2 linked regions of the Arabidopsis thaliana genome follow. The protein of the gene in region 2 interacts with the protein of the main gene of each other region in a pairwise test. Each region holds a gene or a part of one and is shown on either strand. Other genes may lie near its edges. The genes, in order: SPK1 and ARAC9.

Region 1 (5,161 bases), on a different chromosome or scaffold from region 2:
CAACAATGGCTTTATGTACCAAATGCAGTTACAGTGAATGAGATTGAAGCTCTTTACGAACTGTTCAAGAGCATTAGCAAAAACGGGCTTATCGACAAGGTATGCAAGAATCCATAGTCGGACACGAGTACTATATCTCTCTGTTCCTCTACATTCACTAGGATCCTTTCAAATATATTGCAGGAACAATTTCAATTGGTACTATTCAAAATGAACACAACGAGAAGCCTTTTTGCTGATAGGGTAAATTAGATAGACTTGTAACTCACTTATATGAGTTTCCTTGCTGTACACTCATACTTCAAGCTTTGCAGGTGTTTGACTTGTTTGATACCAAGAATACTGGGATTCTAGATTTTGAAGCCTTTGCTCGTTCACTTTCGGTCTTTCACCCTAATGCTAAATTTGAGGATAAGATTGAGTGTAAGTGGTCGAGAGAGACTTGACCTTCTTTTTTTTTGTCATATCCAAACCTTGGATCAAGCTCATCTTTTGTCTCTGCAGTCTCTTTCAAGCTGTATGATCTGAATCAGCAAGGTTATATAAAGAGACAGGAGGTGAAGCAAATGGTTGTGCGGACTCTAGCTGAATCTGGCATGAACCTTTCTGATCATGTGATTGAGAGCATCATAGACAAGGTGGGTTTGGTTGATCTCCTCCATTGACACTAACTAGGATTCTCATATTTAATCTTTGACAAGAGATGTAAAAACTGATTGGTGTGTGTAGACATTTGAAGAAGCTGATACTAAACTGGACGGGAAGATTGATAAGGAAGAGTGGAGGAGTCTTGTGTTGCGCCACCCCTCTCTGTTACAGAACATGAGCCTTCAACATCTCAAGTAAGCTAGCCATGTTATTTGCCTTATTATCTTCTTCGTGCGGGACTAACATGTTTTTGTATGTTGTGTTTTGTGTAGAGACGTAACAAAGACGTTTCCAAATTTTGTATTTCACACTATAGTGACAGACACTCCTAGTGAGCTGGATGGATGATCAGGGATGTGAAGAAAGACCAAAACCCTTTACAAGATCATTCATACTTGATTCTTATCTTCTTCTCCATTACTCTATTACAACCCTCCTCTTTATTTTTAATAAATACGTTCTGAAAGCAGCATTACCTCACATGTTTGTGTATCCGCAAACTTGTTCGGTTTATCTTATCTGTTGGAGTGTGCAAATTGATTCTTTTACTCGGCATTAGTTTTATTTTGTTGCTTCTTCTTTCTTTCTATCTAAATTTGTTAGTTGGAGTAAAATCCGGACAACCATATTTTACAGGGAACCCAAATGGCGAGATAGTTTTAACATGAGAAAGGAAAGATTCATGTGAATGAGAAACTGGTTAACTTGAATCTCATAGATCATTGTATACTTGGACATTTTCCCAAGATTAGAACAAACAATACTAGATCTCTCGAAAATATCTTCATCACAGTTGCAAAGAGCCGTGGAGAACCCAACTCTTGAGCTCAAAATTGTATCAGCTAGTGACGTCAACCATATCGAATATGTCACGGACAAAATGGACGTATACGCCGTCGTTTCAATCAAAGACAACACAACTCAACAGCAACAAGCGGCCAAAACTCCCATTGATATATAACGGAGGTTCTAATCCGACTTGGAATCACACACCGTTAAGTTCTCCGTCAACGAGAGAGAAGCCACGAAGCCCAATAATTATGTTAACCAGTGTAACGTTTTTTCACCCACTTAATTTTTTGGCTGGGTCTGCCTAACATTCTAGGCACAAGTTAAAGAGGTGATCAATTTTTAGAAATTATAACCCTAATGCTAACATGAATGATATATAAAAAGGCCGCAATGGTAGACTATAATGGCAACAACTCTGAAACAATGGCTAAAGATTGGGATTCACCGATTCATAGATACCAAAGGTAACTATGAACTCGTTTACGGTTTATCTCAACATGAATCCGTAGAAACAAATCAACAATCCTAATTTCAATAAAGTGTGACAACTAAATTCTTTAGCCGTATACTTTCTAATTCCATTTTGTTTGGTATAATGAGAATTGGAATGACTTTTGGTGAAAATGGTTACTACTTACTCCAATTCTTTAAGTTGGTTCAGGTGAGGTATCATCGTCTTTGGTCGTCCCAATGATTGACTCTTTTGTTATTTAAAAAGAAAAAAGGGACAGTAGAGTTGGACTCTTGTTGGACTTACAGCTCCAGCTCGACTTTTGCTTTCCTCTTGAGTAATCTTCACTTTTTCTCCCAACTGCTTCCTCTCACGGATCTCTTCCTCTCTGCGTAAAGACAAAGATTCATCCTCCTCTCCTCCTTTAGCTCCCCCACTCAGATCTACTTACTACTCCAACAATGTCCTTTTCCCATTTCTAGGTTTTCACAAATCCCCAATTCTCTCTAATGGCGTAGTAGTACCTCACATTGTATTAGATCTATCTCAATGGAGAACAACAATCTTGGTCTTCGATTTCGTAAGCTACCTCGTCAGCCTCTTGCTCTCCCTAAGCTCGATCCTTTGGTAATTAAACTCTCCTCAACCTTTATTCGCGTTTTCTCTCTCTTTTCGTTAATGTGTTTCTTCTCTTTTGTTTCAGCTTGATGAGAATCTGGAACAATGGCCACATTTGAATCAATTGGTTCAATGTTATGGCACTGAATGGGTTAAAGATGTTAACAAATACGGTCACTATGAAAATATTCGACCTGATTCTTTCCAGACTCAGATTTTTGAAGGACCTGATACTGATACTGAGACTGGTAACTATGATGCATTGTTTATTTTTATTTTTTTTGCTTTTGTCAATTATTGTACATCAATTAACTCTCTGCTTCTTCAGAGATTCGTCTTGCTAGTGCCAGGAGTGCAACTATTGAGGAGGATGTTGCCAGTATTTCCGGGAGGCCGTTTTCTGATCCTGGATCCTCTAAGGTGTCTTCTTTTACTCACTTCATTGCTCTGTTATATATTTCTCATCCTTTGGTTCTTACTTTGAAGGTGTTGCTTTTTTTTTTTTTTTTCAGCATTTTGGGCAACCTCCTTTACCTGCTTATGAACCAGCTTTTGACTGGGAAAATGAAAGAGCTATGATTTTTGGTCAGAGAACTCCTGAATCTCCTGCAGCTAGCTATTCCAGGTTTTTTTTTTTTTGCATGTCACTATGCTTTACCTGATCTTATTATCTTTGTCTGATTTGTACTTCTGTTCCTCTTTATTATCTTCACAGTGGATTGAAGATCTCTGTCAGAGTTTTGTCTCTAGCTTTTCAGTCTGGCTTAGTTGGTGAGGATTCTGACTAACTGCTGTCTATTTTCTGTAATTTTAGTTATTTCAACTTCTTTAAGTTCCTTCTTTATTTCTCTTGCATCCCTGCAGAACCATTTTTTGGCTCGATTGCATTGTACAATCAAGAGAGGAAGGAGAAACTCTCTGAGGATTTTTATTTCCAGATTCAGCCGACGGAAATGCAGGATGTAAGTAACTGATTAGAGCCAACTGTCCTCTTTTTGCCTCTTCCCTTCTCATGATTATATAAAAGGTGATTTCAGTTTTTTCTCACGTCATTTTTGCGAAATTGCCGCCCCTTGTACATTTTCTTGCAGGCTAAACTTTCATCTGAAAATCGTGGAGTATTTTATCTAGATGCCCCATCAGCATCAGTTTGCCTGCTTATTCAATTAGAAAAAACAGCAACTGAGGAAGGAGGCGTTACATCATCTGTCTATTCCCGTAAAGAGCCTGTAATTTCCAAAATCCTGAATTTTCCCTTACTGTCTCTAGAGTCTCTTGCTCATGTGAATGCCTTGGTCTTAGAGATTGTGTCTTTCAACATTTATTTGGAGTAACTTGGAGATAGCCTGTGACTTATAATGGCATATATCATCTGTCTTTACTCTTTGTTTTGATATATATTTTAGAGTAGTCATGGTGATAGCTGGATCTTGATATAACAATTAGTAATTACCCTATTTATGTGAATCAGGTGCACTTAACTGAGAGGGAAAAGCAAAAGTTGCAGGTCTGGTCTCGCATTATGCCTTACCGAGAGTCTTTTGCTTGGGCAGTTGTTCCGCTTTTTGATAATAATCTCACCACAAACACTGGTGAATCTGCTTCCCCTAGCAGTCCTCTTGCTCCTAGTATGACTGCGTCAAGTTCCCATGATGGTGTTTATGAACCAATTGCAAAGATCACATCAGATGGAAAGCAAGGTTATTCAGGTGGAAGTTCTGTCGTAGTTGAAATATCTAATTTAAATAAAGTTAAAGAGAGCTACTCTGAAGAGTCCATTCAGGTAGGATGTTTCTTATCAAATCCCACAGTTTTTACCATGTTCTTTATGATTGTATTTACAGTGCTTTGAACTTCACATGGTGTGGAACATTTTTCATAGATTTTGTTCAATTTGAAAATCCTACTTGCTAGGTACACTTTGGTTGGGTTTTCCTGAACTGGATATGTATCTAAGCAAGTAGAGTTGCATGCACAGTCGATTGACAAAATACTTCTGTATTTAATTGATAACAGTTTTTTTTTGTTTTCTATTTGAATGAATCAATTTTGGTAGCATTTGACAATTAGGTCATGGTGTTTAATTCATAAGTTTTGAGGAATAGAAGTTCTTCATTTCTGTTTTCCCTTCTGAAGTGTAGTTAGTTATAAGTATATTACTAAATACATCACAAGAAAACAAGATTTCCGAGCTCTCTCTTCTTTTACTCACACAAAAAAATTCAGATCTGAATCGTGTTTGGTAACGTCATCAGACAAATAACTGGAATGCTTTTTATTGATATAACATCTTACTGTATATTGCTGCTTTTATCTGGAGGAAATACATATCTAAAATCTCTTTAAACTGTCTTGATCAGTTGGACATACGGAATCTCCTAATGTGCTAATGTCTAATAATTTATTCTTTGGTTTTTACAGGACCCCAAACGGAAGGTTCACAAACCTGTTAAAGGGGTTCTAAGACTGGAAATTGAGAAACATCGGAATGGACATGGAGACTTTGAAGATCTATCTGAGAATGGAAGTATCATAAATGACTCCCTTGATCCAACTGACCGCCTCAGTGACCTGACTCTTATGAAGTGTCCCAGTTCTAGTTCTGGTGGACCCCGTAATGGCTGTTCAAAGTGGAATTCAGAGGATGCAAAG
Region 2 (4,514 bases):
CCTTAAAGCCAAAGATCTTAGGAACGTAGTTTTGAGCCGGCTTCTGCGGTTTCATGTTCCCATAGGCCATGAGAAACAAATGAGGGAAAGTAGTTCCAAAGTAAGCTCCATCAATGTCTGCAATAAGCATTAAGGAAAGAACACTAAGACAAGTGGACAACACTCTTTATCTTCTAAAAGATTTAATGCAAACAAACTAGCTAATCGCAATGTTTAACCAAACAATAGCAGATGCATCATATTATGACAAGATAAAGCTTTTTTGAACAGAGGAGCAAAGGATACTGCCTTGGTATTTAGATCGCGGGTAGTAAATATCCTCGCATTTTGGGCAGTATATCTTCACAGTGCTCGACCTCGGGATATCAGATTGGCCAACCGGAAGACAAGACTGTCCGCAACAGAAAACTCTGGGGCATCTCCCGAAATCATAATTCTTATACTTCTCCATCTACAAAAGAGAAAGATATCATTCAAAAGATCAATCAGAAACAAAGATGTAGAAGAAGTATCTTGCTTACCATAGCAGCCATTCCTTTAGTAGTGAGAATATAACGAACATGAATAAGACCATATAACATCTCAGCAGCTGATTCCACCATCTCATGCTGTTCTTCAGTAAACATATCACCTAATCCAATAAACATTCCTCCAAATTATACAACAATTCTCAGACAAAGTAAAGCCTAAATTCATCAAATGGACCCTTCACTTACCATTTGATGATTCAACATCTAAAATGAGATCAAGTGCATAATCATAGTAAGGAACTTGACCACTCAAACCACAGAGATTGAAATCATCTTGTATATAATCTTCATCTACTTCACAGAAAAACTCATTCCCTCTCAAATTACAAAACCATGAGATCCAAGAGGTATCATCACCTTCTGAACCACTCACATCTGATCCTTCACTATCCGTGTCAGATTCAACTGCATCCACAAAGAATCAAAATTTATTAATACCCAAATCAGAAAGTACTAAAACCACATGAAATTGAAATTGAGTGAGATATAAGCAATTAACCATCGGGGGAACGAGAATGAAGCTGAGATTTAGCAGTTGAAGTAGAAGGGACAGAATCTTTGTCCTTAGAAGTGAAAACCCTAGATGTAGAAGGTGAAGATTTCTTAAGATGTTTGTCTAAAGCATCATTGATTCGTTTCCGATCAATAGCTCCACCAAGGATCTCCGATCTCGATGATCCACCACCACCCATTATTCCTCCTCCACTCCGATCCTTGTACATAACTCGATTCGATTCCCTCAATGAAAAAAAACAAAATTTTTCAGCTTTAGATTCTCAAAGTCTTCGACTTTCTTATCATCAGAGGAAGAAGAGGGGCGGATAAATCTAGGGTTTGTTTTTTCTTCGATAGTTTGATCACAGAGTAGAAGAAAGAGAGAAGAAGAGATAAAGAGTGCTCTGCTTTTCCCTGTGGTTTTTTCTCATTCTCTACTGTTTTGTTTTCTTCTCTTTGTTTTTTTTTTTTTTTTTAATCATTGTTTAATTTTTTAAAATTCTAGTATTTAGAAATGGGCTTTTCGGATGGGCCTTATGACACTGACAGTTGTAATACAAAGATTCACGTAGAAGGAAACATTTTTTTGTACTTAAACTATGATTCCAAATTATATCTTAGGAAGAAAGAAATCATAAAATTCATTTTTTTTTGTATCAACACGGTAGTAATAATGGACTTGCCTTTCCATCTTTGTTAATGATGATGTGTTTGGTGGTCGATCCATTGTCCAAACTTAAATCGAAAAAAAAAACAAATGATCTAGAGATAATTAAAATTACACATCTTGTAAAATTAGTCATGTAAATGTAACTGAATTTACAAAATTTGATTTGATATAACCACCACTTATTTTCATTTTGCTGAAACATTTGGACCTTTGCATTTGCATTGATTGGTGAAAAAAACAAAGCACTATAATTTGTACAACTTTCATTTCTACCAATTATAATTTTTTTTATCAAAAGCGTTACTAAAAGATTTTTCTCTCAGCTTTTTTATACATTTTTTTTAATATAACTGTTTTTTAGTAATTTTATACTATTTCAAAAAAAGTTAACAGATAAAAGTTATGTACAGCTATGTGTTACCAATTAGAGTTTTTTTGGAAAGAAGTAAAATATGGCAAAATCTATCTAAATTCAAAAAATAGGAAAGAAATCAAACCCACCGAATAAAAAATTATTTTTAAGGCGTTTTGGCTCTCTGACAGCTCAAATTAAAGTTGACTCCTTTTTTACCACTCAAGTCTCATTCTCATTCTTCACTTGAACCAGAATAAAACCACAGAAAGAGAGAGAACAGGGTAAGTAAAATCAGAGAATTTTCTCAATCAATGTCAGCTTCAATGGCTGCAACATCAACATCATCAGCAACAGCTACAACGTTTATAAAGTGTGTCACTGTTGGCGATGGAGCTGTGGGCAAAACTTGTCTTCTTATTTCCTACACCAGCAACACGTTCCCCACTGTATATAAATCCATCTCTCCCTCTCTCTCTTTTGGATTGCTTTTCTTGATAGCTTTTGGTGACTGTTGAGATCTTGTTATTACAGGATTATGTTCCAACAGTGTTCGACAATTTCAATGCTAATGTTTTAGTCGATGGTAAAACTGTCAATCTGGGTCTCTGGGATACTGCTGGTAAATGCTTTTACCTAATGTCAAAGTTGTTCTTGTCTTTAGCTTTATATCTACAACAATATGTCAAGGTCTAATCTTTTGGTCCTTTTAAAAGAAGTCAGTTGAAAAATTTGAATCTTTGATGCAACATTGTTTTGGTTCTTGAATTCACTATCAGATTTTGCTCATGTTTCTTCAAAACTTAAATGAGACCAATTATGATTCTTGTGTTATATATCTTTTGGGTGATTCACATTATATTACAGGTCAAGAAGACTACAATAGGGTTAGACCATTGAGTTACAGAGGAGCAGATGTTTTCATTCTTGCCTTCTCACTTATTAGCAGGCCTAGCTTTGAGAACATTGCTAAAAAGGTTGAGACTTGAGATTATCTTTCCTTTTACTTTTAATTTCACTGTAATTTAACTTTACAACACTGATCTCATGTGCATATGGATCGGTTTTCTTTCGCAGTGGGTACCCGAGCTGAGACATTATGCCCCGACTGTGCCTATTGTTCTTGTGGGAACCAAATCAGGTTGAAGATAATGAACCACTCTGTTATGTCTTGAATGTTAGGAATCTAACATCAATGTGTAAGTGATGTTATGTAGTATATAAGATGAATTTCTTGATATTGCAGATCTAAGAGACAACATGCAGTTCCCAAAGAATTATCCAGGTGCTTGCACAATCTTCCCAGAACAGGTATGTTTTTTTAAAGATTCTTCTTCAATGTATATGATCAAGAACCATGTTAAGAATCAAACTCTTTTATAACTCAAAGATTGCTTCTTTTATAGGGTCAAGAACTAAGAAAGGAAATAGGAGCATTAGCATACATAGAGTGCAGCTCAAAAGCACAAATGGTAAAGTAACCATTAATGCTTGAGTTACATTTTACAATTAGACCAAATATTTTGGACCTCAATCTGATAAAGAAAGACTTATGATGATGCTAAATTTGCAGAACGTAAAAGCCGTGTTTGATGAAGCGATCAAAGTAGTTTTACATCCTCCTTCAAAGACTAAGAAGCGAAAGAGAAAGATCGGTTTATGCCATGTTCTTTGACTAGTGTACTCAAGTCTCTGGCTTTGGTTTGTTTTACATCTTTTTTAGTGTGTTTCTTCTATGAAGGACTCTTGCAGATTTTAGTATGATTAGCTATCTTCGTTATAAAAGTTTGATCTTGTAGTAGAGATTCTTGTAACAGAATTATAAGCGAATTCTCGTCTATCAGTCTATGTAAAAGAACAATGTTTGTCTTCTTTGAGTTCAAGAGACAACAACAAAGAACCGTTTTAGCGCAAAAAGAAACAAAATAAACCGATTGAAACAGAATCGAAGAATAAATAAACCGGGTTTTGTTTTTTGGCTAATAACCGAAACCGAAATAGAATAAATCAATAAAATCTCAATTCTCTAGTCTTCTCCTTTAAACTAGAGTCGATGTCTAGCTCCAACGAACCACCGCGAAAAACCGACCAACCATCGTCGTCATCGGCATCGGCATCGGCATCGCCGTCATTGTTTTTGTCACTGCCACTGGAAATCATTTCGATGATCTTAGCCCGCGTCCCAAAACGATATTACCCAATCCTCTGCTCCGTCTCCAAGAACATGCGGAGTCTTGTTCGCTCGCCTGAAATTCACAAGGCTCGATCTTTACTCGGAAAAGATTATCTCTATATCGGCTTCATCGACGAAAATTATCGCCCCGTATACGACTACTGGTACACTCTCCGGAGAATCGAGAACAGTACGACCGAGAATCTCTTCGAATCCATTGAGTTCCCTTATCCTTCCGAGCCTAATCGATTTTCCATGAACGCCGTTGGTCCAAAGATCTTCTTCATTTCAGAA

Evidence for each region.
Region 1: the proteins of ARAC9 (region 2) and SPK1 interact in a two-hybrid assay, tested with the Arabidopsis thaliana proteins (one study listed by BioGRID).

The regions. Positions count from the first base shown.
Region 1 is NC_003075.7:9,238,340-9,243,500, reverse strand, and holds the start of SPK1 (guanyl-nucleotide exchange factors;GTPase binding;GTP binding protein), read left to right. Parts: upstream 1-1,871; 5' UTR 1,872-1,904; intron 1,905-2,101; 5' UTR 2,102-2,440; coding exon 2,441-2,518; intron 2,519-2,594; coding exon 2,595-2,757; intron 2,758-2,837; coding exon 2,838-2,929; intron 2,930-3,021; coding exon 3,022-3,134; intron 3,135-3,224; coding exon 3,225-3,280; intron 3,281-3,373; coding exon 3,374-3,471; intron 3,472-3,600; coding exon 3,601-3,738; intron 3,739-3,980; coding exon 3,981-4,292; intron 4,293-4,930; coding exon 4,931-5,161. Other genes in the region: CBL6 (calcineurin B-like protein 6), read left to right, coding at 29-99, 184-243, 315-423, 505-638, 730-842, 921-996. UniProt on the Arabidopsis thaliana protein: Guanine nucleotide exchange factor (GEF) for Rho and Rac. GEF proteins activate small GTPases by exchanging bound GDP for free GTP. Controls actin polymerization via the two heteromeric complexes WAVE and actin-related protein (ARP) 2/3.
Region 2 is NC_003071.7:18,426,915-18,431,428, forward strand, and holds ARAC9 (RAC-like 9), read left to right. Parts: upstream 1-2,206; 5' UTR 2,207-2,361; coding exon 2,362-2,496; intron 2,497-2,581; coding exon 2,582-2,669; intron 2,670-2,914; coding exon 2,915-3,024; intron 3,025-3,124; coding exon 3,125-3,188; intron 3,189-3,293; coding exon 3,294-3,358; intron 3,359-3,453; coding exon 3,454-3,519; intron 3,520-3,620; coding exon 3,621-3,722; 3' UTR 3,723-3,968; downstream 3,969-4,514. Other genes in the region: CKB4 (casein kinase II beta subunit 4), read right to left, coding at 1-117, 286-451, 522-631, 717-935, 1,030-1,252; AT2G44700 (Galactose oxidase/kelch repeat superfamily protein), read left to right, coding at 4,101-4,514. UniProt on the Arabidopsis thaliana protein: Inactive GDP-bound Rho GTPases reside in the cytosol, are found in a complex with Rho GDP-dissociation inhibitors (Rho GDIs), and are released from the GDI protein in order to translocate to membranes upon activation.